Notamacropus eugenii: one gene and its partners. Each later gene encodes a partner of the first gene's protein in a complex. Links are inferred from orthologs where the notes say so. Each region holds a gene or a part of one and is shown in the gene's direction. Other genes may lie near its edges. The genes, in order: NUP153, NUP160, NUP85 and CETN3.

Region 1 (8,000 bases):
AATTCATAAAAATACCACCAAAAATACACAAGTGTGCCTATCTTCCCATAATCTCTCCTGTATCAACTATTGACATCTTTTGGCATCTTTGCCAATTTGCAGGGTTGTTTCTCTTATCAGTGATTTGGAGCATTTTTTCATATAACTGGTAATAATCTGCAATTAGTTTCTGTATTCCATTTTCATTGGCTATAAGTTAGGAATCAGCAAACTATGGCCACAAGCCAAACCTAGCTTACTGTCTATTTCTGGTCAGCTTGTGAGTTAAGAATAGTTTTTACATCTTAAAATTAAGATGTAGTGGAACGCAGCCATGCCTACTTGTTGACAATTGTCTATGGCTGCTTTTGTGCTACAATTGCAGAAGTGAGCAGTGAGAAAAGGGATGATTGTGCTCTCATCGATTTACATTGCTCAGCATACTACCAATTGCAGTGACAATTACTATTCAATAGTGTTTCGAGTACCATGCATATCATCATATGATGACTTTTTTTGGACCTCAGGCTGAGATTGAAATATTTCTTAAAGAGAACTGCCCTCAACAACTATTATTGAACACTGAATGACTTTGGAAATTAGCTTTTGCTGCAGACTTCATAAAGCTTATTAATGAATAATTACAAGGCAAATAGAGCCTATCAGGTGAAACTTATATTGTTGTAAGGTCAATTTAATGACAGTTATTATTGTTTGAATCACAAGTAATGTCAACTTTTAAAAATATTTCCTGTGCTGTCAAAAGTAAAAACAAGAAGTGAGATCTCTATTCTCACACAAGTTTGTAGCAGTTATATTTTCCTTGCCTCAGACTACAGTTCCAGCAGTGCTTTTCAGACTTCAATGCAATTGTGAAAGAAATTTCCATATTTTAACATCCATTTAACTGAGTAACTGAGGAGCTTCCACCTAACCTTCAACTGAAGTGAGTACTCTGTAATGTAATGACATAATAAGGTTCTTTATCTAACGAAGAATCTAGTGAAATTCTATAAATGCCTTTCAACTGATGAATATACTCCATCAAAATCATATGTTTGTGGATTAATATCAGTATTTAGGGTAGAAAGACATTTTCAAGATGAAATAAATAAAATCTGATTATGAATCAGCATTTGCAAGCAATTCTGATGATAGGGAATACTATGAACTCAAATTAAACTAAATGTTATCCCCCTCACCCCCCAAAAAAGGAATTCCGTTCTTCTCATTAGTAGAACCATATTACCAAAAAAAAAAGTTATATTATACATGTCCAAAACAGAACTTATTTTTTTCCCTAAAACCTCCTCCCTCTAACCTTCCCTATTAATGAAGAGGGCAAAATCATCCTCCCAGGCCTTCAGACTCCCAACTTAGATGCCATCCTCAACATCCTTGCCCCACTCCCTACCTCCATATCCAGTCCTTTGCCAAGGCCTGTCAATTTCACCTTTGAACATGTCTCTAATGAGCTCCCTTCTCTCCTCTGACACCATCACCATTCTAGTAAAGGTCCTCATCACCTTGTGCCTGGACTCTTGTAATAGGCTATTGGTGGGTCTGCTTGCCTCAAGTCTTTCCCCACTGCAATCCATTTTTTAACCACCAAAGTGATTTTCCTAAAACACAGGTCCATCCACATCACTGCCCCTCTTCCCCCTGCCCCCACCCCCTCTCCCCTCCAGCAATAATCTTCAATAGTTCCCTATTACTTCCAGGATCAAATACAAAATGCTTTGTTTGGCATTCAAAGCTCTTCATAACCTAGTCCCCTCCTACCTTTCCAGTCTTCTTATACCTTATTCCCCTATATGTACCCTTCCATCCAGTGACACTGGTCTCCTTGCTGTTCCACAAAAAAGAACACATCATCTCTTGGTTCTGGGCATTCTCCCTCTCCTCCATGCCTGGAATGCTCTCCCCTCTCATTTCTACCTCCTGATTTCCCTGACTTTCTTTAATCCCCATCTAAAATCCCATCTTCTTCATAAAGCTTCTCTCAAATCCTCTTAATTCTTGGGCCTTCCCTCTGGGGATCATCCAATATATAGTTTGCTTGAATTTGTTATAGTCCCCATTAGAGGGTGAGTACCCTGAGGGTAGGGACTCTTTTGCCTCTTATCCCTAGGGTTTAGCACTGTGCCTTGCACACAGTAGGAACTTAAATAAGTGTTTACTGACTATTACATTTTGAATTTCATCAAAAGAATCTGTGGAAATTAGTTTTCTCTCTTGTTATACAAGTACCTACATAATATCCTCAATTTTACCTACTAGCCCACAAAGCCCAAAATATTTACTACCTAGCCTTTTATAGGACAAAATTTTCTGACTCCTATAACAGGTTAGAGACAGTCCCTGACATTAAAAAAAAAAAAAAGATAAGAAAAACCTGATAATATCATATCCCTTATACATGGTAGCCTCTTTGGAGGATGCCTTTCTGCTACCACATGAGTAGCTCATTCCCCATCTTAGCTTGCACTATACTAAGGAAGCCTATGGAAGATATTTTGGGGCTGAATCTTCCCAATATCTAAATACTTATATCTTCTCACTAGGAGATGGGGGTAGTTTCTCAAGGCCTGAAGTTCTGAGTTGGAACTTCTAACATTTTCTCATAAATGGTCATATGGTCAGATTCCCAGACCAGTCCACAAAAGGCCATTTAGCTGACTGGATACTATTTAAGTAACACACTTACAATTCCATTTCCTTCCACTGTCATGTGATTTTGATACTAAATAGAAACAGAACATCTGCCTGCAAATCATTAATTATGCCGCATTACACTCAAAGTTAAATAAATGGATTTCACTTTAGTTATAAGTTAAATGGATTTCATCTCCAAAATGAAGATAATTTTCCACAGAAAGCTAGAAGACAGTATTTATCATCAAGGATAATTTTTCATAACACAAATTCTCACTGCTGGGAGTCCCCAACTTGCAAACAAATGGTGTTCCAAAATTTTGTAAATCAGCCGTTTGGTGCTAAGAATTTAGTACCAGATTAGCTCACAAAAACCTATCTGAATCATAATGTTGCAGGTACTATTTCACAGAAAAGTGTTTTCAAAACAATAAGTTGTTTTCCTCCTCTGTCCCACAGATTTTACCTTTCTTTGCCTTTGTCTTCACTAATACTGACAAAGAAAAAGCAAGGGCTTGAAGATATTACCTCTCCCAGGTATTTCTTTTTGTTGCATAACTTTAAGAAATGTTTTTAATGAAGGAAATTCAATGGTTCAGGAGGCAACTTCTGTGATTTTCAAATCACAACGTTTCTTCCTTCCTTAAAAATTTCTTCATCGCTCTACTTACAAAATAATCTTTGTACAACCTCAGTTAAGTTACTTTGCCTTCCGGAAAAATGAGAAAAAATTTTGCTCCTTCAAAAATTGGATTTCTCCTGACATCAGCGAGAAAGGTGAAGATAAAGGCGTGGGAGAGCACTGAGGACAAGCTCTTCGCTTTTCAGTTCTGTCTGGCCTTGGAGGGGCGGTTCCACGCGTGACAGCGAACATCAGTTTCTCTGATGGTAGGGACGCAGATCCTGCTAGGGCTGGCCTGGTCCTGCAGACGAACGGTGAGCCCGGAAGCCTGTCAATGTCAACGTTGGTTACGCTTTAAGACTTAAGCTAAAGCCCCGTAAGGATCGCTCCGGCCGCCGACCCGGAGGGCCGTAAATAAGCTGTCCACTTTTAGGAGACGGTGAAAGTGATCACAGCTGGAAGAGGCCGGGGTCGAAATCTTAAACACACATTTTGTACCTATTTTAACTTTCTGGTCCTTCCCAGTCCTACGCTTCTTATTTTACGCGTTTAAAAACACTGTTCCGAAGAAGGATCTCTAGAGTGCCAAATAGTCCCGAACAACTCTGAACCCCGCCCCCCCAACTCGGATCTCATCCATCCCCTGCACTTCATGAACCAGGCCAAAGGAGGGGAGGTTACCAGACGGAGGTACGTCAGAGGCCGGCAGGGGATGACGGACGCGGGGGCTGCTTCCTTCCAGCGCCCTTTAGGCCCACGCTCAGAAGTGGGGAGGCCCCCGGCGGTAACGTGTCGGGAAAGTCCCCCGGGGGCAAGGAGAGTAAAAGGGAGAGTCTGGGAGGGGGGGAGGACCCCGCTCCCAGTAAAAAGCACGTGCGCGCTTCTGCTGAATCCGAGCCCCATGGAGAACACGCAAGAAGCTGGCGCCTCATTTTGTCCCAACAAACCCGGCCTCCTTCCCTCCCCCACCTCCAAACTCGGCGTTCCTCGGCCGGACTCTATTTCCCGTCAGCCCTACGCGCGGCGCGGGCCGGTTCAACCTTCTTTCCCTTCTCCTCTCGCTCACCCCGCCCCTCGGGTTCGGGCGCGGATCGATGACGCGCCGCACCCGGCGCGAGAGAGTGACGCCACTTTGGCTCGCGACGGCGGCGGTCGCTGCAGCAGCAATAGGAGCAAAAGCGGCAGCGACGGTAGCGACGGCGGCGGCTGAGAAGACTACGACGACGGCGACGGCGGCGGCGGGGCGGGCGCCAGGCGCGGGGGGGAGGGGTGGGCGGGAGGCACAGGCAGCAGCGGCTGAGGCGGCGGAAACAGCGAAAGGATCACCGCCCGGCGGTCGCGTTAGGCCCTAGCGGCGCCGGGAGCTGCGCGAGAGTCGAGAGCCCGCGCGCGCGCCGGCTTCCCCCCGGAGATCTCCATAGAGACCGTGACACGCACAGAGGCGGGTGCCCGCAGGCGGGCGGGCGGGCAGGCGGGCGGGCTGCGGGGCCCGGAGCAGGCGCCGCCGCCCCTTCTCCACCTCCTCCTCCCCTTCTCTTTCTCCTCTTCCTCTTCCCTCCCCCCTCCCTTCTCTTCCTCCCTCCTCCTCCCGCGCGCGCCCTCTCTCTCTCTCCCCCGTCGCCGGCCGGGCCTCGCGCTCCCTCTGGTGCCCGTGCCCCGGCGAGCGGGCCGGGCGGGCTCTTGGGCCGGGGCCGGGGGGTGGGGGGGCCGCTGAGGCCGCCGCCGCCGCCGCCGCCTCTCCCGCCCCTCCCCGCCCTCCCTCCCTCCCTTCCCCGCCCCGGAGCGGGAAGAGGCCGAGACTCCGCCATGGCCTCGGGAGCAGGAGGAGGGGGCGGCGGCGGCAAGATCCGGACGCGGCGCTGCCACCAGGGCCCGACCAAGCCCTACCCGCGGGGACGGCAGCAGCAGCAACAGCAGGTAAGGACGGGCTTCGGGGCGGGCCCGGCCTGGCTGCCGGGCGGCCGCGGCCTAGCTGAGCCCGGGGCTCAGACCCGACCCCCACGTTGGGCGCCCCCAGCCCTTCCCAGCCACCACCCAAACCGCCGGGGCCCCCCTCACCCGGGACCCCCGCACTGCCCCCACCAACGCCATCCCCGCAACATTCCTCCCCCGCTCCCCCTGGGCGCGCAGTGTCCGCCTCCTCTCACACACGTCTACACGTGCCATTGCTACCGTAGCATCCACGCTGCCCAACGCACAGCCCATTGTGCCCCCCCCCACCTCCGTGCGCCCCGCTTCCCGGCGCTCCCACTGTACTCTGCTCTTACCCAATACTGTCCCCCCAATTCCCCCTTTTCTCCAGGACATTTCTGTCTTGTCCAACACACAGTCTCACCATGCCCCCGTTCCCCAGTACAGTTCTGTCTTCCTCCGATACACCCCCCCACCACACAATACACCCCCTACTGTGCCCTCTTCTTCTTCAGGGTACTTGTGGCTTCTTCCATGACACACATCTGGCTTCGCGCACCAGAGGTCCCCCAACTCCTCCCTCCCGCTGTGCGCCCCTCTTCCCCAATACACGTCTGTCTTCCCCAACACACACCACATCTGTGCCCTTATCTTCCACAACACCCCCATCACACACTGTCCCCCAACTGTGTCCCTCAACTTACCCAACACACATCTGTCTTTCCCAAGATACATGCCCCCATACCTTGACTTCACTCAGCATACCCCCAACCAAAACCTATCTATCTTCCCTTACACATCCATCTTCCCTTAAAACACACTTACCTCCCCCTTATACACAAACACATACACCCACACTCAGTCTCATCTTCCATTATACAGGGTACTTAACTGACTCCCTACACATTACATCTCTACCACACACTCATTCCCTCATACACACCTTTCTTCCTTTACACATGCACACCCACATCTTCCACTTCATACATGCCTCTTCCCTTACACACCCACCTACATCTACTTCTACACAAAATGCATATCTTCCCTCACATGTGCACTCGTGCACACACATCCCCATATAACTGGGGCATGTGTGGGGTGGGGACCTCTGGAACCAGAGATGGGGTGAATTCAGCAGGCTAGTGTTGAAATAAATGTATATGTGGTAGGGCTACTGCCAGCCACTCCATCTCCTGATATGTATCTTGGTTTGGGGTATTCTGAGTGAATTAGTTAAAGGTTGTTTGTATTTCCAGACCTTGCTTCCTTTTTTTGGGGTAGAGGGAAGAGGGGTGTATGGGAGGGGTTGGATATTAGGGTAAAATCGGAAATTATCTCGGGTTCATTATGTCTTGTCAAGACTCCTAGAATAGAAAGGGAAGTAGAGGAAAAGACTGAATAAATTTGGTGCAATGGCTCACTTTCTACCCCCACATCTCTTGGGAGTGATGATTTTGTTTCATGTATTTGTTTTATTTGTACTTCAGTCCCCATTCTTTTAAAAGTCTAATTTAGATCTCATAAGAACCCAGGTCCACGTGGATCACCTTCTGGGGAAAGAGTTATAGTGACACTGGCAGTGGGTGCATTTTGAAAATCCCTCTTTTTATATGTGTCCTATATGGGTTGGCCTTTCCTCTGCCTTTACTTGTTTTGGAGTTTGGAATTGGTAGTTATCCAGAGGTGATCAAGACATGTGGTTTTGATTTCTGGTATACAGATTTTCATTTTGATGAGGATATTTAAAAGCTTGGGTTCTTTGCCATTTGTGGGGGAGAGTGACAAATAATATAGCCATTTTATATATATATATATATATATATATATATATATATACATATATATATATATATATATACACACATGTACATATATATATATAGTTGGCAGTTATTGGACAACCTTTGTAAAAGAAAATAATAGGGTAACTAAGCTATCTTAGAAATCACAGCTAGTTGATCCATAAAAAGTTACCAAGATAAATTCTTTTTTTTTTTGCTTGAAAGGAAGTTAATTAAGTTGGTTTAGTAAGTAATTTGCTATTTAATATACTAGTGAGTTGATTACATGAAATTTTAAATGACTCATGGTATCAGTACCTACTGTTGAAGTGATCAGAGTAATAATCAGATTATTATTCCAGATAATAAAAATAATTGGTATTTATATATTGCTTTAACATTTTCAAAGAAATACACATTTCACACATTCACACAAATGTATGTGATGTTATTTACTTTAGTTTCTTCATGACAGCTCTGACGGGATAGTACTAGAAGGTGGTGGAATAGATTTTACCCATTTTACAGAGGAGGAAACAAATTCAGAGGTTGTGACTTGCTGAACTCTAAGTCCTGTACTATCTATATACTATCCTACGTCTCAAATGATTTGGAATGCTAAGCTTATGTTTTATAACATTTCTTATGATTGAAAAACCTACAGATTATTTTCCTAAACACAGGTTTATAGAAACCAGGAATTTGGGGATATTACCAATTAGAAAGTTTATTTCTAATTATTATTGCTTCTTTCTAATTAAAGATTCACAGGTCTATGGAATTCCTCTTACCTCTAGTTTTTTCCCCTTAGGCATTTGCAGAAAATGCCTGATTGCCAAATATCTTGGAAGACCAGTGTGCTTTGTCAGGGAGTCTGAATTTTAATCCCCACTCAGAGGCCTCTAACTCACAGTTTGAGCATAGATAAATCTCTGAAATTGAGCCTTAGCCTCCTGTTCTATATACTAGGGAGAGGAATACTTAGATTGTGTTTTGATCAGAAGAAGGACTTGTGTGGATAAAATAAAACTGTGGTACTGAGAAAGATGTTA
Region 2 (7,652 bases), on another chromosome or scaffold:
CACTTGCTGTGTGGCATCCTGGGCTGCAGCTCACTCTGATTAAAGACTTCTACTTTGCAATATTAGCCTTAAATTCAGGTTGACAATATCAATGGCAATCTCTAGTACTAAGGGACCTTCTCACTGATTCAAAAGTATATTTTAAAGGTCCTCTTTAAGATCAATGGAAAATATTATGAAGTAAATACTTCTCCAGCCCAAAACCCTTGAGGAAATGGATTGAGAGTGAGAATGAAACTTAGAATAAAAAGTACCTCCTGTCTAGTTATGATCATTGGTTCCCCATCACATACATGGATCGGTGCTAAGAATCCTCTAAGGACAGTTTCTTCCGCATTCTGAAAGGATTTCTCCCCAAAACCTCCATCTGAGGAAGTGTTCACACCAGCCACGCTCTCAAGCAGCCTCAGACTCTCTGGACAACTTCTCCACCTTGTACAGAAACTCCATTTCCCCCCTGTTGGCATTTTCCCTCAATTTCCCATATGCATGGGATGCTCTCCCTCCTCATCTCTACCTCTTTGTTTCCCTGGCTTTCTTAAGTACCAGCTAACTGGAAACTGCAGGGATACCTACCAACTGGGAACTGGCTGAACAAGTTGTGGTTTATGATTGTGATGGACTATTACTGTGCTACAAGAAAGAAGGAGCTCAATGATCTTAGAAAAACATGGAAAGACTTGCATAAAATAATGGAAAGTGAAAGGAGTAGAACCAAGAGGATATTGTCTATAGGAAAAGCAACATTGTTTTAAGAACAGCTTTAAGTGAATAAGTCATCTTGACTGTGATAAATATCCAAATTAGCGCTAGAGGATACATGAAGAAAGATACTATCTACATCCAGAGAAAGAACTGATAAATAAAAGTATGTATAGAAAAATTTTACATATATGTATATGTATATATACATATATACCTATTTGTGTCTAATGGTAGCCATCCTTAGGGCAAAGAGGGAGGGAGGGAAGGAAAAGAAGAAAAAAGAAATTTACCTAACTTTATTCTAAATTTAAAAGGAACAACAAGCCATGCATAACAGAGCTGCAGTTTCATGGGCAATCATCTTTTTATTATGCTGTGTTACATAAATGCTTTTTATTCCATAAATTAAAAAGTGTGAAAAAGTAAAAGCCCCGCTTTTCCGCTCCCCCATCTTTCATTCATCCTATATGGAGCTTATTTCCACATAGCAGTTGGCATCCCATCATGAGCAGGGGCTGTCTTGTCTTTCTTCGAATTCCCAGCACTTAGCAAGGCGCCTGGCATGCAGCAGGTGATTAACTTTCTGACTGTTTCGGCTTGTGTTTGCCTTCCCAGCGTAGTCCCTAGCACATCAATAATGGGCTTCATAAGTGATTTTGCTAATCCAGTGTAATTATTAGGGGACTGGTTAGAGGAAAGAAGCCTTTTGGCCTTTGGATGGCTAGGGGAGGAATACAAGCAGTTTTAATAAATAGACAATAAAATCCTATTGTTCTAGGACAGGGTTCCCCACCCCTGTTCTATGATGTTGATCCCCAAACTGTATTCTATCATGCAGGATGTTTAACATATAACTTTAATAGCTTAAAAGTGTACTAAGATTTTGGGACACCAAGTATTATGAGCTTTTCCTTGTTCAAAACTCGTTACTTCAAATTGTTTTGGGATAGAGATTCTCTATACAGCCTGTTTGTACGTTTGTTGTCTGTCCCATTAGACTAAGCTTTCTGTGGGTAGGCATTGTCTTTGACTTCTTTGTATCCTCAGCTCTTAGTGTAGTGCCTGATATTTAGAAGGAGGGTCATAAATACCAATTGATCAAAAACCTCAAAATGGATCGGATCAAATGTTAAAGAAATGCTATTACTAACCATCTACAATTCAAGGAACCCAAAGTCCTGTATTCATTTCATTACCACAGAGGAATTAAATTCAAAAGAAGCTTGCATTAAGCTCCTGTTGTCTACACTTTGCTGGGCTGAGAGAAATAACAAGTTTAAAAAATCCCTGCCCCAGTGGAGTGTATTGTAAAATCTTACTAAGGAGCTTATTTCCTTCCATGGAGGCTTATCCTTCTTTCACTAACCACCTTCCCCTCCAGACCTCACAAGCACTGTACTTACTATACAATATTCTACATATCATAAATGAGCAATGGTTCCACCAGTACTCTGGAACCTCCCAAACACTGAGCTAGCTCTGGTAATGTGTGCTTTTGCTCCTTGTGCTAATTTTGGCCTAACAACCAACACCAAGAAAACACAAGTACTCCATCAGCCAGCACCATACCACCCATAGGTGGAATCATCGGCTACAGCAAATGGAGTTTTGAATGATGTGGATAAATAAGTTTGATTACCTTGTCAATATACTTTCTAGGGATGTACACATTGACACTGAAGTTGACACACCCATTGCCAGAGCTAGCTCAGAGTTCGAAAGGCTGTATTACCAAGCACCCTAGCATATCCAGAATGACCTGCTAGCACAGGTTCTTTGATATGCTTTATACAGGAAAGACAGCTTTAACAATCTTTCTTTAATTAAGCATATATGTCATTCACTAGTTCAGGGGAAAGGTTAGCACCCTGAATGTGGAGAAAATACAGAGTAAGTATAAGCAGAGAATTAGCACAAAGATTCAACAGACACAGTTCTCTCTGTCTGAACAAAGTAAGACAACCACCTACATACACCACCAGATGGGTGAACACAAACCTTTGAGTAGTCCATGGGTTCTTAACAAACAGCTACTCAGTCCCGTCCAAAGAATCCAAAGGTCCTTCTATAAACTAACCCCCCCCCCCCACAAAAATACCAACCTCCCAGTTTATATAGTTTTCAACTAATAAGCTCAGAGCCAGCAGGCATCACAACCCATGTAACTCAGCACAGCTGTGAACTAGAGGGGTTCAAAGGAGATTGAGCATTCAGATGTTCTCAATTTAGCCTGAGCCTAGGAAACTGAACTCCAAAAAGAAAACAACAAAAATCCTACTTTGCTTGCTCTTACAGGGGCTCCAAAGGAAAGTGTGAGAGAGGAGAAGTATTCATTGTAGATCAGACTGAAGGTCTACAGAGCCATTATACCAGTGCCATGCCAGGAAACTGAATTGCTTCGATTTGAATTGTCTTAGGTTCTGAAGATCACCTCGGTGGGATAAGGTACCAGACACCAAGGTCCTTTTTCAAACTAAACTACCAAAGATTCAAATGTACCGCAGAGAGCACAACTATGATGGACTGACCACGTTGTTCAAATGCCAAAATTCTATTTTACAGAGAACTCACACAGGGCAAGCTCTTACACGGAGGTCAGAAGGACGCTCTCAAGATGTCTCTGAAGAACTTTGGAATTGCTTATATGACTACGAGATGCTGACACAGGACCACCCAGCATGGTGTGCCCTCATCAGAGGTTCTAGGCACTTTGAGCAAAGCAGAATTGAAGCAGCCCAAAAGAAACTGGAGATGCAAACTCAAGAACCCAGTCCAAATGTTCCTATGTGTGTCCCACCTGCGCTAGGGCATTCGGAGCTCATATGAGTCTGATCAGACACATTTGGATACATTGTAACCTGACTAAGGTTACAACCAAACAGCTTTGATTTACATAGTGTATAGCATAGCACCTCCCCTGGCCCCGTAGAGTGCTCTGCATACAGCTGGCATTCCATAAACGTCTGTTTCAGAATAATACCGAGCACCCAAGGAAAGCCCCTAAAACAGACACACGTGTAAAAAGTAGCCATAAAGACCAAGAGAATGCACAGAGAAGAAAATTATGAAGTCTGAAAAGAACCCCTAAAAAATGATCACTTTCCAATTTTCTCTCAAGAAGTCAAGAAGCATTTATGAAGAGCCTACGAGGTGCTAAGCCCTGAGGATACAAAGGTCAGAGACAGTCAATCTTCCCACACCTTCCTCCTCCATCCAGAGACCAGACAAGACCCAGCATTTTCTCTGGCCGGCCCCACTTCCTCCAGGACGCCCCCCTGGGGAGCGTCTGCCGTTCGTGCTCAGTCATACCCCACTCCTTGCGACCTCATTTGGGGTTTTCCTGAGAGATTCTGCAGGGGTTGGCCATTTTCTTCTCCAGCTCATTGGACAGCTGGGAAACTGAGGCAAGCAGGGTGAAGCGACTCGCCCAGGGTCACGCAGCTAATCGTCTGAAGCGGAACTGGAACTCAGGTCCTCCCGACTCCAGGAGGGCGCTATGCCCTGGGCCCGCCGGCGGCGCCCGGATTCACCTCCCACCGCTGGGGCTAAGCACGTGTGGGACCGTGGGCAAGTCACTTAACTTCGCTGGCCCTGAGCTTCTGCATCTGTAAAGTGAGACTGCGGCGGCTACGCGGCCTGTCGGGTCCGGGTAGCTCTAAGTCTGCCATAATGCGCCTCAGCTTCCTGCCCTCCCGCCCTACCAAGACGCAGCACCACCCCCATCAGTTCTGCGCCTGCGCAAGGAAATGCCCCAGCTCCGGCCCCGCCCCCTGGGGAGGCCGGCGGAAATGGCCTCGAGAGAGGCTCTGGCCGGGGACGCGAAGCTCCATCCTTTCCTGCGCCCCGCCGGGCCCGCCAGGCGCCGAGTCTGGCCGAGCTCGAGGCTTCGCAGGGCCTCGCGGCGCCGCCGGAAGTGACGCCAGGCCGAGGGGTGGGCCCGCGCGTCCCGTCGGGCCTTGCGGCGGCGGGATGATGGCGGCGGCGGGAGCGTTAGAGAAGAGTTTCGTGGAGCTGTGCGGCGCCGAGCGGGAGACACAGCGGCGCTTCCGGGACTTCACCGTCTGCGGCTCCGGTACTGGGCGAGCCCCGGGACCCCGGCCCTCTCCGTGCCTCAGTGTCCCCGTGCGTGCCGGGGGGCTTGGGCCCAGGCACCGGAGCGGGCCGCGCTGTGACAGCCCGGGCTGTGAGAGGCCTGGACCGGCTGTGCTGAGGCCCCGCGCCGCTGGGGGGCCGCGTTCTAGGCCCCCCCCCCCCCCCGCGCCCCTCAGGGGCCGCGTTCTAAGGCCCCCCCCCCCGCGCTCCTCAGGGGCTGCGTTCTAAGGCCCCCCCCACCCCTCAGGGGCCGCGTTCTAGGCCCCCCCCACCCCTCAGGGGCCGCGTTCTAAGGCCCCCCCCCCCGCGCCCCTCAGGGGCCGCGTTCTAGGCCCCCCCCCCGCGCCGCTGGGGGGCCGCGTTCTAAGGCCCCCCCGCGCCCCTCAGGGGCCGCGTTCTAAGGCCCCCCCCCCCCCCGCGCTCCTCAGGGGCTGCGTTCTAAGGCCCCCCCCACCCCTCAGGGGCCGCGTTCTAAGGCCCCCCCCCCCCGCGCTCCTCAGGGGCTGCGTTCTAAGGCCCCCCCCCACCCCTCAGGGGCCGCGTTCTAGGCCCCCCCCCCCCCCGCCCCTCAGGGGCTGCGTTCTAAGGGCCCCCCCCCCCCCCCCCCCCCCCCGCTCCTCAGGGGCCGCGTTTTAGGGCCCCCCTGCCCCTCACCTTCTATGTTCTAAGGCCCTCCAGCCCCTAGGGGCCAGTGCTCCAGTCCTCTCCCACCCCTCAGGGGCTGCGTTCTAAATCTCCAGCTCCTTCAGTCCACGTTCTAAAGTTTCCCCTACCGTGACATTCGATATTCCAAGAAACCTTCCAGCTCTAACATTCTGCGTTCTGAAGCCCTCTCCAGCTCTGATGTTCTAGGCTCTAAAGTCGCCTGACATTCAGTGCTTCAGAGTCCCTTCCAGCTCTAACATTCTGCGTTCCGAAGCCCTCTCCAGCTCTGATGTTCTAGGCTCTAAAGTCGCCTGACATTCAGTGCTTCAGAGTCCCTTCCAGCTCTAACATTCTGCGTTCTGAAGCCCTCTCCAGCTCTGATGTTCTAGGCTCTAAAGTCGCCTGACATTCAGTGCTTCAGAGTCCCTTCCAGCTCTAACATTCTGCGTTCTGAAGCCCTCTCCAGCTCTGATGTTCTAGGCTCTAAAGTCGCCTGACATTCAGTGCTTCAGAGTCCCTTCCAGCTCTAACATTCTGCGTTCTGAAGCCCTCTCCAGCTCTGATGTTCTAGGCTCTAAAGTCGCCTGACATTCAGTGCTTCAGAGTCCCTTCCAGCTCTAACATTCTGCGTTCTGAAGCCCTCTCCAGCTCTGATGTTCTAGGCTCTAAAGTCGCCTGACATTCAGTGCTTCAGAGTCCCTTCAGCTCTAACATTCTGCGTTCTGAAGCCCTCTCCAGCTCTGATGTTCTAGGCTCTAAAGTCGCCTGACATTCAGTGCTTCAGAGTCCCTTCCAGCTCTAACATTCTGCGTTCTGAAGCCCTCTCCAGCTCTGATGTTCTAGGCTCTAAAGTCGCCTGACATTCAGTGCTTCAGAGTCCCTTCCAGCTCTAACATTCTGCGTTCCAAAGCCCTCTCCAGCTCTGATGTTCTAGGCTCTAAGGTCACCTGACACTCAGTGCTTCAGAGTCCCTTCCAGCTCTGACATGTGCTGAACTGCCCCGATGTTCCCTTTGCAGAACTCGTGGGTTTGTCCGGAGCTGTGAAGTATGTGGAGAGCGCGGGCGGCTTCTACTACTTGGAAAGCAGCAAGTTGTTCTCCGTCACCAGAAACAGGTTCATTCATTGGTGAGTGTTACAGAAGGAAGGAGGTCTGGGCCATGTACTCTAGTATGAGGGGATGATCGTACCTAAGGGAATAATGGTTTGTGAGAATAGGAAGAGACTTTAAAAAAATCTGATTTCTAGGTTATATGGAGAACAAATGTAACAACAAGAAATTCTGGATTTTGGTCCCATTATTTAACATCTCTGGAACTCAGTTTCCACATCTGTAAAATGAGGGTGTTGGACTATATAATCTCTAATGAATGACCTTTCTCACCATAAAGTTATGGTCCCAGGCAGTAGGAAATAAAAATGACCGACATTAAATATGTTGTACTCTACAGTAACATAGAACATGGTGATAGGTTCTGGGGAAAATATCCATAGTTAAGATATTAATCTTTCCTCACAAAGTTTACAGTCTAATATAGGTCTGTTTGCAGTCCATCAAAAGATTTCAGGCAGCCCTCGAAAAATGTAGAATTGTCACTGCACACTCTCCTGTTTGTCGTATGACTCGCAGCAACCAACCATCATGGATCTGTCTCTAGTATGAACCTATCTGTGACTAGAAGAAGTTGAGCCTATTTTAATTTTGGCCCCTACCTACTGCCAAGTTGTGCAGTCTGGTCTAGTAGGAACCTAAGAAAGACACCTTAGAATACAGTCTTCCATGGTAGGTGCATTAGCTCTGCTCTGAGAAGTTCCAAGTGAGATGTGAAGGTGACAATCATTCTGTACCAGGTCTTGATCAGGGAAGACTTCCTCAAGGAAGTCATCAGGTGGAGCTGTAAGGGGTGGGCGGAAATGCAGCAGATAAAGGAGAGGAAAAACATAGCAATTTGGGGAATAGCCTATAAAGCCATTAAGGTATGAAAACTTGTGCTTGGAGATAGAATAAAAATTAAAAGTCTGGCTGGGGAAGGGGATGGGTATTATAGGAAACTGGAAAGTCTGTGGAGGGCCTTGAATGTCGGGCAGCAAACTTTGAACTATGAAGCCATGAAAGATTTGTGAGCAGGTCTATTGTATAGGTCAGCTTTTAGATGCAGAGGAAAGGTGGCCTGAGTGGAGCCCTGGGAAACCCATGAGCATACTTTAGTT
Region 3 (7,617 bases), on another chromosome or scaffold:
GCTCCTTATTTAGTTCCTGTCAACGTGCTGTACTGAGCGTTTCTTTTGGGTGTTAGGAAATAAATACCTGTTCCATAATGTATATAGAATAGCTTTTTAATTTTCCTTTTTGGGGAGATCTTAGGCACAAGTCAAAACCTGATCTTTAAGTAGTTTTCCCCAGAGGTGACTATGCTATAAGACATAATGAGCTAAAGTAGATGAGAAGAAAAAGTCTAATCTCCCTTTTAGAGTCACTCAGGTTCTTCCCATGACTAAAAGCAGTCCAGAACATGTACATAGATAGGTCTAGAGCCAAGAGGAGACCTTCATTAGAGAAGGGAGGGGCCTCAGTGCCTTTTGCTGGCTTGAGTACAGCAGTGTCTTAGTGTTCCACAAAAAAAATATGTTAATTTGTGTTTTTCTCTAAGTCAATATGCAGCTCAGGGATCCCATCTATTTGAGTTTGATACTACTGATCATGAATCATTCAGAGCTAGGTTTGGCAAACAATTTCTGTGCCCCATTTTGGGTTGCAAGTTTGCTGTGAATTCACAGTACACAATTAGCTAACATATCAGCAGAGACAAACTTTACAGGTAATGTTCCACACCCATAATCTTCCACCTCAGCAAAGAGAGGAAGGTGAATTTTCTCATCACTTTTCTTGAGCTATTGGGCTAAGCTTGGTCATTATAACTACAACACATTCAAGTTTCTAGGTCATTGCTTTGTTGAGGTGAGAGAACCATGTGTTGAGGCTTGGGGTGCCTGGGACCCCAAAATACTGACAACCCTGGGTCCTACCCAAATGAATTTGACCCAAGCCTTTTTACAGCCAATGAAAAACAAAGTTTATTAAAGATCCGTCATGTTGGGTTAACTTATGAAGGCTGGCCGTTTTTGAGGTTTGTATTAACAAGTGGGCCAGATAGAATCTCAGGTAGACAGAATCAGAACTGGATTGAATCAGAGCACCTTCATAGAGACAAGAAAGAGCTTATATACAGAAAGACTGTGCGAGGGATCTGGGGGTGGTCTAGTGGTCTAGGGTGATGGGAAGAGGGTTTAGGGAGGGTCTTGAGGAGGAGTCCAATGAGGATCTTAATGGGGTTGGAGTGACAACTGGTCAGAATCAAGACAGTAGGATTCTGATGTGATCAGGGAGGAGTTAACAGACAATGGAGGGTTTATAGAATAAAAGATGGGAAGTAACCCGAGGCAATCTGGAGGCAACCAACAAAGGAGGGCCAGGCTAGGTTAAAGGTAACCAATTTGGGTGGGAAAAGCCAGATTTTAGAGTTCAAAGAGGTTCCCAGAGACTATATTCCATTCTTTTATTATTGTTCTTTCTTTCCATTTGCATTTTTTGGAATCATTGCATTTATTTTCCAGTTTCTGCTTACTTGACTTGACATTTTTTCATGTAAATCTTCCTATGCTTCTCTGATTTTGTCCCCACAACTCAAGATACTCCATATTCATAAACTAGCTATTGAGCTGTTTCTCATTGATGGGTGTCTCTTTGGGATTATTCTTCTCACAAGTACAGATTCCAGGGGAAAGTGGGCTTCAGTTTAGATGGCATATGTGACAAAATCGAAGCTCTCAGGAATTCTTCTGCCACAGTCCTTAAGTATGGTTGAACGTTTCTTTTTTGTAAAGCCTTTAGCCTGCCTTTCCCCACCATGCTCAGGCTGACCTTGCTTCCTGAAGCAAGACATTGTCACTTCAAGGATGCCATTGGGAAGATGAGAAGTACAAAATCCTCCACTAGTCCAATCAAAGTGGGACTAGGGGCAGGAGAAAATCAAGGCCAGGGCTCTCTCTGCTCTTCCCTGGATTCCAAAAGATTCTTTCTGTGGAGTATAGCTGGAATGCTCTCTCTTCTCCATTGCTGGGGACTTGAATCTCTCAAGCAAAAACTGGCTCAGTATTTTATAGATGGCCCATAGGACATAACTAAGTTTCCTCAATCAATCAGAATACATTTCTTGCTATATTTGGAGAGATATCCAGGCCTTCTTTACATAAATGAGATGCGTTCCCACCTGTTAAATGTAATAGGGGTATAGCATCTTATTACTTTAGGTGGGAGTGGAGTGGATTTATTCAAATGTTTATTCAATAATTTATTCAAATTATGTATTGATCTCCCCACCTTCACTCTGCTCTTCACTCAGAGGCCCCTTAACTCTCAGCACCCTAGAAGAGCACCTGGAAAAATTACTTAAAGTTTAGGTTTGGCTCATGTCTAGGGTCTCTCTGAAACACAGGATCCCTCTCCCTTTTTAAAAGAAATTCTAGGATGAGCAAACCCACCTGGTTGGGCTCGGTTTCTCCCCAAAAAGGGGAAGGTTAAAAGGTCCTGGAGATAAAATATTAATGAGATCTAGGACAGCTATTTATTTCCTCTACACAAAAGAAAGGCTAAAAACAAAAGACTCACAAGTGTCCTTAACGAGGAAGGAGTAATGATAGTGGCTGGAGCAATTTAATGTTTGCAAAGGTCTTTACAAACTTTAGCTTATTTTGCCCTCCTCACAACCTGAAGAGGTTGGTGCTATTTATCATTGCCATTTTACAGATGCGGGACCTGTGGCTGGTAAGGGTTAAGTGACTTGCCCAGGGTCAGGAAGTTTATAAGTTTCTGAGGCCAGTTTTGAACTCAAGACTGAGTTCCAGGGTTCTGTCCACTGTGTCCACCTAGCTCCCTCAGTATTACTGTTATGTTCTCCTGTGAGACTTGAACAAAATATAAAACATTTTATGGGTCTGCTGAATAGACATTTTATCTTTCTCTTAGGCTCTGCCCTTTTCAAACAAATCTCTCCAGGTCCACTTCTACTGGCAAGTCAGGCCAGTCATTCTCTGATGTAGAAACTCCTGCTGCAGGTCAGCTCAGAGAGACCTCAGTATGATCTCAGACTCTGGAATCCACACAAGATTGCCTTGGAGGCAGGCCATGTACATCTTGGGCAAATGGAAAAGCTAGTCAGGAACTTCAAGGTTAAGTTCAGCTGGCCTCATTGCCATATATTAGCAGATGTCAGGTTGTCAGAGCTGATGAAAGGGGCTACCCTTTCTTTTTCCCTTCAGGGTAGTCTAAAGAGGAAAAGCACTTATCACCCATAAGGTGGAAAAGAGAGACAGAGAGCAAAATACCTCCTGGCTTATTCGCCAGTCCTAGCTGATACAGGTTTGATGTCTTTCAACCACTGGGAGTGAGAGACCATGAGTCTGCTTTGTCATTCCAAAAAGACAAACTCCAGAGAGGAGTACATTTTCCTAGAAGTGTTAAGGGATGCAATCCCCATCACGTAACAAGATGTTTAGCTTTGGCCATAACATCCTGCAAATTCCCTTCTAATCTTCATGTACCTTCACAATTAAAAAAAATATATCATTGCAGATGCTGTTTTCTAACTGAATAAAGTCACTCACATTGTGTTTAGTGATCAGATTTATTCGAGGTGTCACTTATATCCTGGTTTGGGGTTGGTAACCTCTTTCCCATCAAGGGCTCCCAACTCTGGGTTCATTATGCTATCAATCTAGAGTTGTACCAACTCTGGGGAAAATCTCTTAAACAAAGCCTAGTTTTGGCTCTTGTCCAGGTTCTGCCCAGAAGGGATTAGACTCCTACAGAAATGCTCAATGTACGAAATAGATTATGTACAGGACCGCTATTTATTTCCTCCACAACAAAAGAAATGCTTAAAACACAAAAGACTCATAAGCACTCACTGAAAAATATTTAAAACATGAAACAATAATCCATCAGTTCTATTACACTCTTCTGGGAGATAGGAAAAACTTACAGGACAGTTGTGGAACAGATAAACATTTCATTTTCAGCCCAACCTACACTGTCTGAACAACTCACTCATAGCCCCTGTCTTCTGGTCAGCCAGCCCACCTGGCTCCAACCTCCTAGACATGGTTTTCTTCTCCAAAAGGGGCATGACTACCAAGCAGAACCTCCCACTGGAATATCAGCACCCAGACTTCTCCATGACTCTGGGCTGCTCCAGCTCAGTCGGCGGCAGACAGGTGCCTTCTCCAGCTCATCTTACAAAAGAGCAAAGTGGGCAAACTGGGTTAAGTGACTTGTCCAGGGTCACACAGCTAATAAGGGTCTGAGAAGAAATATGAGTCTTCCCGACTCCAGGACTCTATCCACTGTGCCTCAACAACCACAAAGATCCCTCCAAGTAAAATAAAGTGAATGCACCGAGGGCATGGTGGTGGGGGATTTTCAAGTTCCCTGGGACAGCTGGAGCGACTTTAAATCAATTTAAAACCAGTGCTAGGGATAAGCAGTAGAGTTGGAACCTGGAGTCAGGAAGACCTGGGTTCAAATTCAGCCTCAGACATGTAAAAGCTGCGTGCCCGTCACAAGTCACTGAGCCTGCTGGCCTCAGTTTCTTCTTCTGTAAAATGGGGTAACAGCAGCCCCTACCTCGGGGTAGCTGTGAGCCAGTCCTTCCTGCCATCCTCATCCTCACTGGAGCTAGTTTCTACTGCGTGGCAGCGTCTGCCTTCATGGGTGCAGTCACAGCGGCAGTTTCCACCTCCGCGGATGCCTCCTGCACGGGGGGCACACCGCCTGCCGGCGGGGTGCGTGCGGAGAGGGCCCAGCACGGGCTAACCCGCGGGGATGGCTCCAGCTCGCCACAGGTCCAGACTGCCTCTCCACCCGCAGCCGCAGGGGGGCGCAACCTGCCCGCAGATCCCAGGCTTCCCAACCCCAACGAAGACCCGACGAAGAACTCTCCCGCCACCTGGGGAGAGCCGGGCTGCCCACAGTTATGCCCGGTGTCAGTGAGACGGATGGAAGCACGGACGTGATGCTTCAGCATCGGCGATTTCGGAGGGGCGGCTTCCAAGCCCCAAGTGGGGAATTATCTTTAAGGGTGGCTGATGTGAGCATGCGCACGTATGCGCTCAAATCCCGAGCGCCCTGACAGGCACTTCCGCGGCCAGCCGGGCGCCGGAGCGGGGTCCTTCGTAGGCGCGAGATACGGGGCCCGGGTGCTTGTGGCGGCCCTCGAGTCCCTGGTGCTTGCGTTGACCGGACCGCCAACATGGAGGAGCTGGATGGTGAACCCACGCTCACGGTAGGTTCCGTGCCGAGGGACCAGCAGGGCCAGGGACAGCCGCGGGTGGTCCAGGCGCGTTCCCGCCTTCCGTCGGAGGTCGCTGCCCCGCCCCTCCAGAGGTCACGGCCCGGCTCGGGCGCGCGCTGCAGCCTGGCAGGGCCGGGTCGTGAGAGGCGCCGGGTTGCATTTCCTTTGTTTCCCGCTCGCGCCTTGGCCACGCCCACGCACGTGGGTGTTCCTCCCTCCCGCGCCCTAGGCGGGCCTCCTGCCCTCTCTCTCCCTCCCCTCCCCCTCCCCTTCTCACCTGAGAAACGCCGCTCGGGTTTTCCCGGGGAGTCCTCGGGGGTTTTCTTGGTTGTCGCGCTGGCTGCGTCGCGTGGTGGGCGGGGTGCCGGCGGTGGAGTCCGGGGGGCCTGGGTTCGAGCACGGCCTCGTCCCTTTCCCGTTTCTGTGATCCTGGTGGAGTCCCTTAGCTAGTCTGTAAATGGGGGTAATGACATCAGCCGGCGCTTCGCGGGGTCGGGGTCGCCTTGTAAAGCGCTTTGCAAACCCCGGGCCGGTCACTCCGCAGCAGGGGGACATCCTGGGGCCCGCCCCCCGGGGTGTGGGCAGGAGCGGAGGAGAGCCGTGAAGTGCTGGGTCCGAGCGGGGGGCCGCTCGTCCTCCCCGGGTAAGTGCGGCGTGCGCGTTAGCTGTCGTTGCTACTGCTGTTTAAGCGATGGCTCCTCAGCATCGTTATTATCGACAGCCGTCCCCGCTATCTGTTATAGTAGAGTGAATGACTGACATGGGAATGCTTCACGTGGTTGAGTGATTGCTCGCCATCCCAGGGCAGGGGGGGAGTGGGAAGGGAGGGTGCTAGAATTAGACAGTTAGAACCGCAGTGCTTGCCCTTTACCACACAGTCGCACCATCTCTCACGGGCCCCTCCGCACTTGTGTGACCTGCGTGGCCGCCACCAGCGCTGGGGCTTCTCCCGCCTGCTGAACCGGACCCCATTCTCCTGAACCTGGTCATTCAGGGGCCTCTAGTGGTGCAGTGGACAGAGCACCAGTGCAGGCGTCAGGAGGGCCTGAGTGCAAATCTCACCTCAGACACTGGACACGCCACTAGCGGTGTGACCTTGGGCAAGTCACTTAACCCCAGCTGCCTCATCCTGGGTCATCTCCAGCCATCCTGATGAATATCAGGTCACTGGATTCAGGTGGCTCTGGAGGAGAAGTGAGGCTGGTGACCTGCACAGCCTTCCCTCACTCAAAACAAATTCAAGTGCAAGTCATGTCATCATTTCTCTGATGGCATGATCTTCTTGGGCAACGAAGGACGAACACACGTATATTTAGTCTCAGAGAAAATCAGAGATGTTTTCACAGTGGCTGTGGAAAGTACTGGAGAAACCCTTGTCTCCTCTGACTTTTTCTTTGTACTTTGGTTTAACTCCATTTTGAAGCAGGGACCAGGACCAGGTTTTTGTTTAGTGCTGCACTGAGTATCTGGTGACTATGCCATCAGCGAGTTTGAGGTGAGACAGTAGTATACGGTCATCCTGCAAGCTTCCCCCACTCTGGAACCTCACCCTGTTTTCCTCATTATATTTCTGAGCTGTTGGCATGACCCTTCTGCTGAAAGGTCATACTTGACATATCTCTGGTCATGGCCATTCAGCTTCTCTAAGAAAGAGAATGTATGGGTCGAACTAGATGTCCTTGAAACTCACGTCCACTCAATAGATTCTGTGAATCACTGCTGAAGCTAATTAGGCAGAAAAAAGGATACACGTAGGAAGGAGTGCATGTTGTTATTTCTATAAATAGTAATAGAATAAAGCAATTAAAAAAAAAAAGTCACACCCCACATAGATACCAGCTGATAATCTGCAGAGTTCATGACAATCTTGAAATGACTGAAATAATGCTACTTAAGAGTAATACTTATTTTTTAAACTGTATCTTATTGATGCCTTTTGCCTTTGCACCAGTCATTTCCAACCTTCTCTAGATTGCACCTCTTAATTGTGGATACTCCAGGATCCTGTCCTGGGCCCACTTCTTGTCTCTTGCTTGGTGACCTCAGCAGTTTTCATGAGTTTAATTACCATTTACAAATGATTCCTAAATTCTACATATCCTGCCTGAGTATCTCCTGAGCATTGCTCAGATATCTCTGTTGGATATTTCAAACTAGGTTGCCTATAGACATCTTAAACTCAACTTCTCCAAAACAACTCGTTTTCTTTTCCCTCAGTCTCACCCAAGTTCAGTTCTCCTGATCATCTCTATTTCTATTGCGCATCCCCTTCCTTCTAGTCACTCAGATTTTCCATCTCGGTGTTGTTCTGAAGTACTCATTCTCTCTCATCACACATATAGTCACTCAGTTGACACATCTTGCCATTTCTGTGTCCATGACATCCTTTGCTTCTGACCTGATCTTTGTATTCACATAAACACCAATGCAATTCGAACCTACATCACCTTTCACTGCCATGGCCTCTTAATTGGTCTTCTTACACAACTGCCAAGAGATTTTCCTAAAA
Region 4 (7,154 bases), about 260 Mb from region 1:
TTGGCAATGGTAGAGCAGAAAAGGAGTGGAAAGCTTAGAGATTTGGTATACAGCACTGCATTTACTCACTTGGGTCAGAACACTCACAAACATCAAGGTTGGTTTGACAGAAAACAATGGGGAAATTCAGAAGCTGCTAAATGAAAAACGAGAACTCTACAAATTTTACCAGCAGGATAGTTCATCCATCTCTAAGAAGGCATCATTTAACTGCATCAAAAGTAGAGCACAAGTGAAGCTTTAGCGAGATGCAGGAAGGATTCTCAGTTCAGTAACAAGGTAGATGAAATAGTTTAGTTTCAACCCAAAGCACTTTAAAGATATCCTGAAGGCTATTTATGGGCCAGACATATGGTGCATCACAACTACTCAGTGCTGATGGAGCCATATTGATTACTGACAAGGATATAATCCTTAAATCATACCAGGAATAGAACAGAGGTCTGTATACAACATTCATCAATTTGATCTGACCAAGGTCTTTGATACTGTCAAGTGTTGGTGCATGATTTTTTTTGTTTGCAGATGATTGTTCACTCAGTGCAGCCTCTGAAGCTGAGATGGAAAAAAAGTATAGATTGATTTTCTGCTGCTTGTTCTAATTAATTAATACCAAGAAAGCACAGGTGCTTCACCAGTCAGAACCACATCATTCATACATGGAACCATCAGCTACAGCAAATGGAGAAATTCTGAATGTTGTGGATAAGCTCACTTACTCTAATAAACATCGCAGATGTACATATAGATGATGAGATTGCCTCATTCATTGCCAGGGCTAGCTCAGTGTTTGGGAAGCTCCAAAGTGTTCTCAACAGACTAGCAATCAATGGTGAAGTCAACTTCTCTCTAGACAAATCTCCAACTGAGGAGGACATTTTGAATACCTTTAGGCTGCTTTCCTGTGACGAAGCACCTGGTGCTGATTCTATTCTAGCTGGGGTTTACGAGGTGCGTTGAGGGGTGCTGGTGGTGGTTGGACCACTGAGCAAACAAAACCTGGCTGAAATTTTCCACATTATACAGCAAGAGAAGGTTATTCCTCAGTTCAAGGATGCCTCCATCATCCATTTCTATAAAGGTAAAGGAAAGACTGTCCTGTGACAATCACAGTGCGGCTCTCAGATCTCTTAGTAATTGTTGGCAAGATTCTTGCCAGAGTCCTATTTAATAGGCTAATCCTTCACCTGGAAGATGGTTATCTACCATATGAAGCCAGCTGGCTTCAGAAAGGGCTGGGGTATGGTTTATATGTTGTTTGCTGCCCTACAACTCCAGGAGAAATACCAGGAATACAACAGAGGTCTGTATACAACATTCATCAATTTGATCTGACCAAGGTCTTTGATACTGTCAGTTATGAGGGTTTATAGAAAATTATGTCAAAATTTGGCTGCCCAGAGAATTTCATCAGTATTGTACATCAGTTTCATGATGGCGCACTTATCTGGGTTCTGGATAACGGACAATGTTCTTGTGCTTTCCTAGTCACCAATGGAATGAAACAAAGCTGTGTGGTTGCTCCCATGTTTTTTGGCATGATGTTTTCATCAGTGTTGTCAAACGCTTTCAATAAAGACAAACGCAGGGTCATGGTCAATCACCAGCACTGATGGAAAATTTTTCAACTTGAAAAAGATACAAGCCAAGACCAAAGTAGAGGGAGTGTTGGTGCACGACTTTTTTGTTTGCAGATGATCGTGCACTCAATGCAACCTCTGAAATACATTGATTTTCTGCTGCTTGTGCTAATTTTGGCCTCACAATTAATACCAAGAAAGCACAGGTGCTGCACCAGTCAGCACATCATTCATACACGGAACCATCAGCTACAGCAAATGGAGAAATTCTGAATGCTGTGGATAAGCTCGCTCACTCTAATTAACATTGCAGATGTACGTATAGATGATGAGATTGCCTCGTTCATTGCCAGGGCTAGCTCAGTGTTTGGGAAGCTCCAAAGGAAAGTGTGGGAGAGAAAAGGTATTAGACTGCCTACCAAACTGAAGTTCCATAGAATCCTTTGTGCTGACTTCCTTGCTGTATGCCTGTAAAACCTGGACAGTAAACCAGTACCATGCCAGGAAACTGAATTGCTTCCATTTGAATTGTCTTAGGAAGATTCTGAAGATACATGGCAGGAGAAGGTACTGAACACTGAGGTCCTTTCTCAAACTAAACTGCAAAGCATTCAAACTCTACTGCAGACAGTGCAACTCCAACGGGCTGGCCATGTTGTTCGAATGCCAAAAGCATTTTTGCCAAAAAGACTATTTTATGGAGAAGTCATATAGAGTGAGTGTTCACACAATGACCAGCAGAAGCGATTCCAGGACACTCAAGTTCTCTCTGAAGATCTTTGGAATTGATTGAGACATGGGAGACACTGACACAGAAGGTGCTATGCTCTAAGAGCAAAGTAGAATTGACATAGCTCAAAAGAAATGTGAGATGTGCAAACTTAAGAGTATCCACTCCAAATGTTCACATGGACTATTTGTTCCTGATCTGCCGCAGGGCCATTCTGAGCTTGTACTGGTCTGATCGGCCACCGTTGGACACACTGTAACTTGACTCTAACACAGTGATGTTATTTTGGTCCTCTTCTGAGAACAAAGAACAACCAACCAACCGACAGTGCTAGAAACTCTTAAGTGAAATAAATATGAACTAATCTCTCTTACACATGACAGCTCTTCAAACATTTTAAGCCAGCTATTTTATCCCTCAAGGGTTTACCCCAGGCTAACCAGGATCAGTTCCTTCAATCAATCTTTTAGTGTTGTCCTGTCTCCAAATCTCTCATTTCCACACCTTCTCTCTGATATTACCATTCTGGTTCAAACCCTCATCACCTTCTGCCTAGACTATTGCAATAGCCTGCTAGTTTTTCTCCCATTTTAGGTCTCCGCTCATTCCATCCTCCTTACAGCTGACAATGCTTTCCCCAAAGCTCATCACTTTTCTACTCAATAAGCTACAGTGGCTTTCTAATGACTCCAGGACAGGGATGGGGAACCTGAAGCTTCAAGGCCACAGGTGGCCCTCTAGGTCCTCAAGCCTAGCCCTCTGACTGAATCCAAACTTCACAGAACAAACCCCCTTAATAAAAGGATTTGTTCTGTCAAACTTGGACTCAGTCAAAAAGCTGCACCCCTGGACCAAGAAGCTCAGGTGTCTTCAAGGTCCCCACCTCTGCTCTAGGACCATCTTTATCTCATCCTCTAAAACACTTATTTCCGCCTAAGTTTTATACTGCACATAATTATTAGTACAGCAGCGCTTGTATGTAATTCATAAGCAAGTAGATCTCCTCATTTTTTTATCAGCTAAGGTGCACTATATAGAAAAGGTAAGCAGGGTCCGTGGTCTTTTCGATCCAGTCCACGCCCCATATACTTCTCCCTGCAGTCTGGCCATAGTGGGTATAGACTTCAAGCTTGTCGCATCGAGCTGAACTGAAACCCGCTTTGGGGTCCGTTTGCATAGACAAGGCGGTGGCTCGGTGGACACAGCCACGGGCCTGGAGTTCAAATGCAGCCTCGGACCCTTCCCACCTGTGCGACCCTCAGTGAGTCTCCTAATCCCGATTATCGCCCAAAGCGGAAGCGTGGGGGGCGCTGCAGTGTCTCTGCCGAGAGGAGCCCCAGTGGGGCCGGGCACGGCTCAAACGACTCGTGAGGCACGGGAGACACGGGGGCCTCTCCGGTGCGTGGCGGTCTCTCCCACACAGTGGCCTCTCCCGCGTGGCGGCCTCCCGTGCGTGGCGGCCTCCCGTGCGTGGCGGCCTCTCCCGCGCGGCGGCCTCCCGTGCGTGGCGGCCTCTCCCACACAGTGGCCTCTCCCGCGCGGCGGCCTCTCCCGCGTGGTGGCCTCTGACACACGGCGGCTTCCCGTGCGTGGCGGCCTCTCCCGCGTGGTGGCCTCTGACACACGGCGGCCTCGGCGCTAAGGGGTGGCACGGCCCTCTCACTGGAGGCTGAACGCCAAGCACAGCCCAGGGGAGCCCACGATCTCCCTCTTTCCCTCCCCCTCTGGCTGTTTTTCAGGCACGTTCCACGCCTCGCGCTAGAGGCGCCTCGCGCATGCTCCCTGTTGCCGTCGCGAGCGCTCCGCCCCCTCCTGCTCCAACGGTAACCGCTTCCCGCCCCTCCCCCTCCCCGTTCTGACCGTCCCCGCAAAGAGTTTCGGGAAGACGCGTCCAGCCCGCAATCTGACCAATCTCTCGGGGGAGGGAGGCGGGTGCGGACGGGAAAGCCGGGAAATACTGAGGATTGACGCACGGCCGCGTCCAATGAGAACCAGAGTTTAGTTCGACTCTCGCCCAGACGGACCCGAATCGAGGCCGGGGGAGGCGGCTGCGGCGCCTGGAGTGGTGTGCAAGGGCCGGAGGAAGCGGCGCTGCCCGGGGCGGGGGGGGATCTCGTCCGTGGCTAAGGCCTCTGTCCGAGGAGAAAATGAGTTTAGCTCTGAGGTCGGTAAAGAGGGGGCGGCCCAGCCCCCTCCCCCTCCCGCCCCGGAGCGGGGCCCCACCGGCGGGCCTGGGGGGGAGGGGCGGGGAGGGAGGAGGGGCGGGGAGAAGCCGGGCCACCTTGCCCCGCAGGCTGAGGAGAAGCTGCAGGCGGGGCCGGAGCCCGGGACCCAGGTCGAGCTGCGGCGGGGCGCAAGTATCGCGAGAACTCGGGCCTGGGCCTCCTCCGCTGCTCGCCTGGGAGACGCCCCCGGCACATACGTCCTCCCTCCCGTGCCTCGGGCCGACCTGGCGCCGTCTGCGCGTCTCCTTCCCGCTTGGTTGTTATTCTTGGCCTCCTCTCACTCCCCCCTTCCCCATTCCGTTGATGCCATTACAGAGAGAGAACGCAGATTCTTAACGTGTGGCGTCCATGTCTGATCGGAGGGGGATGTACCCAGGGGGTAATGTGGGGAAGCCAGTGGGCCCTTTCAGAAGAAAATAAACCAGGAATACGGAGAGTTATCCGAACGTCGGTCAGTTCATGCCCTCTCCCCAGGCCTTTTGTTGAAAAGGGACGCTGGAAATCACCCAGTTTATCCTTTACTTATGAAGATGGAAGATCTAGAGAGGCGAAGTGATTTCCACGGGAGTTTTAAACTTGGGTTCTTTTCTGAAAAATTCAAGCTTCTTGACCATGTCTGCCTTTCTCCTTCTCTATGCGAGGCACTAGAGTTACAAAGGCTGGTTTTTTTAAGTGGCAGAGCTCCTTAGCGTCATTTACTCCAGAAATTTGATTTCTTTATTAAAACGAACGTTTCCTCCGATGTCCTCACTCGGATCTCCGCTCTGGCTTTGCCTTTCTCTGTCTCTTTCCCCCCTGCACACATCATCCTCCCCCATCCAAGGTTTCCATTGATTTTGTCAGTTATTCTTCAGAGCTGTGCTCAGACACCCTTTGATGTGGGGTGTCAGTAAAACAGAATTATATACCTCTTAAGTCAAGGAGAAATTTTACAGGCCCTAATTCTGAAGGTAATGCTATCTTCTGATCTTCCTGGGAGATTTCATTGTAGTCACACCTACACTGTAGAAGTCATAACAAAATTATTTGTAGTATAGGATTAGAAGCTGTGTTAAGTGAGCTGTCTTAGAGTTTTTATTGAAAATTCTTTACCTTTTGAAAACTTGTGTGTTATAATGCTGCATTCCAATTTACTTGGATTTTAGACATTTTAAATGACAATTTAAAAAGTTTAGGCTTTTTGATACTTCATTTCTGTAAAAAGATAAATTCAGTTTCCTTTTTGTCATGTCAGCCTTTCCAGAAGAAGACACTGTTCTTCAATTGGATATCATAGGTTTTATTTGCGTTTTGTACATGTAACATGGACCTGTGTTTAAGACGAATATCATTTTAGTTGATTTTTGTTATTCAAGGAAAAACAAATGTTTAAGATGTGTAACTTTGCAGGCTAGTATGCCAAAATATTTGGTGTTAGTTGATTTCATGGATCCCTTTAAATTATGTTGCTTAGGTAAAGTAGGAGTTATTTTAGCCACAAGCAAAAGTAAGTCAGTTTCTAATTAGGTTACTTTTGATTATCCTTAGAGTTAGTTTTATGCTGATATAAATGCTACAGAAGACAGTAATGAAAGTTTAAGTTTGGACAGTTTTTTACATGGCTTCAGAAAAGTTACTGTATCATATGAGCTCTCAGGCATTGCTTCATTTGCAAAAGTGTTAAAGGAAAGAAGGAAAATGACTTTCTCTTAGTATGGTATCTGTGAGCTACAGTTTTCTTGGCTCTTTTGTTTTGGGAGACTGAATTAGTTGATGGCAGGGATGTTATGTCCTTAAGTCCTTAAGGTAATTTGTTCTATCTTTGTTCTCTCAAAGTTGTAGAAATTTGGAAAATCATCCTGATATTTATTTGATTAGTTTTCCCTCCAGTCTTATTTTGATTATTGATGAATGCAAATAGAAAATAAAAGTGGACTACATGATTTTCTATTTTCTCTTTTTTCATGTCATAGAAATGAGCTTGTAGACAAAACAAAAAGGAAAAAAAGACGAGAGCTGTCTGAAGAACAGAAACAAGAAATAAAAGATGCTTTTGAGTTATTTGATACAGACAAAGATGAAGCAATAGACTACCATGAACTGAAGGTAAAAGTAATTCTTTTAAAGTTGGTTTGTATCTGTTGGCAGTGACCTGAAAACTGCTTTCTAGTTAATTTTATACTTAATCTGTTTTTGGAACTCAACTGTTACGGTATAGCTTTTGCAGTAATGTGCCAGGTTGTTATTTAATGGTATCCTAACACTTTTTTCTTTTTTTTTAGAAAATAATTTTTATATAGTTAGGTTAGTCATTCAGAAGGCAGTTAGTGTTACACCTTCTGTATACCAGGCAATATGCTAGGCCTTGGGGAAATACAAATTAACAGCCTTTTAAATTATAAAAGATCATTACTGTGAAAGGTACATACTTTTCAGTAATAATATTAGAGGATCTTAAACTGTTAATCTGCAGGTATTTATTTAGCATTTAAGTATTCTATTTGGAGGTTAAAGGGTTTTTGCTTTCAAAGTCTCTCCTCTTCATTAGGCCCAAACTCTTGTATATTCTGCTTTTGAAGTGTGAAAGTGATCACACACACACACACACACACACACACACACACACACAATTGCAGGTGT

Evidence for each region.
Region 2: NUP153 (region 1) and NUP160 share a complex: the UniProt entries of both Homo sapiens proteins name them as parts of the nuclear pore complex. The link is inferred for Notamacropus eugenii from reciprocal best matches to the Homo sapiens genes NUP153 and NUP160.
Region 3: NUP153 (region 1) and NUP85 share a complex: the UniProt entries of both Homo sapiens proteins name them as parts of the nuclear pore complex. The link is inferred for Notamacropus eugenii from reciprocal best matches to the Homo sapiens genes NUP153 and NUP85.
Region 4: NUP153 (region 1) and CETN3 share a complex: the UniProt entries of both Homo sapiens proteins name them as parts of the nuclear pore complex. The link is inferred for Notamacropus eugenii from reciprocal best matches to the Homo sapiens genes NUP153 and CETN3.

What each region holds. Positions count from the first base shown.
Region 1 is NC_092875.1:190,369,565-190,377,564, reverse strand, and holds the start of NUP153 (nuclear pore complex protein Nup153), read left to right. Parts: upstream 1-4,993; 5' UTR 4,994-5,062; coding exon 5,063-5,173; intron 5,174-8,000. UniProt on the Homo sapiens protein: Component of the nuclear pore complex (NPC), a complex required for the trafficking across the nuclear envelope. Functions as a scaffolding element in the nuclear phase of the NPC essential for normal nucleocytoplasmic transport of proteins and mRNAs.
Region 2 is NC_092877.1:3,199,290-3,206,941, forward strand, and holds the start of NUP160 (nuclear pore complex protein Nup160), read left to right. Parts: upstream 1-4,639; 5' UTR 4,640-4,674; coding exon 4,675-4,777; intron 4,778-6,460; coding exon 6,461-6,569; intron 6,570-7,652. UniProt on the Homo sapiens protein: Functions as a component of the nuclear pore complex (NPC). Involved in poly(A)+ RNA transport.
Region 3 is NC_092873.1:341,248,859-341,256,475, forward strand, and holds the start of NUP85 (nuclear pore complex protein Nup85), read left to right. Parts: upstream 1-4,607; 5' UTR 4,608-5,066; coding exon 5,067-5,099; intron 5,100-5,218; exon of another isoform or gene 5,219-5,751; intron 5,752-7,617. UniProt on the Homo sapiens protein: Essential component of the nuclear pore complex (NPC) that seems to be required for NPC assembly and maintenance. As part of the NPC Nup107-160 subcomplex plays a role in RNA export and in tethering NUP96/Nup98 and NUP153 to the nucleus.
Region 4 is NC_092875.1:450,247,907-450,255,060, forward strand, and holds the start of CETN3 (centrin-3), read left to right. Parts: upstream 1-4,135; 5' UTR 4,136-4,457; coding exon 4,458-4,474; intron 4,475-6,487; coding exon 6,488-6,620; intron 6,621-7,154. UniProt on the Homo sapiens protein: Plays a fundamental role in microtubule-organizing center structure and function. As a component of the TREX-2 complex, involved in the export of mRNAs to the cytoplasm through the nuclear pores.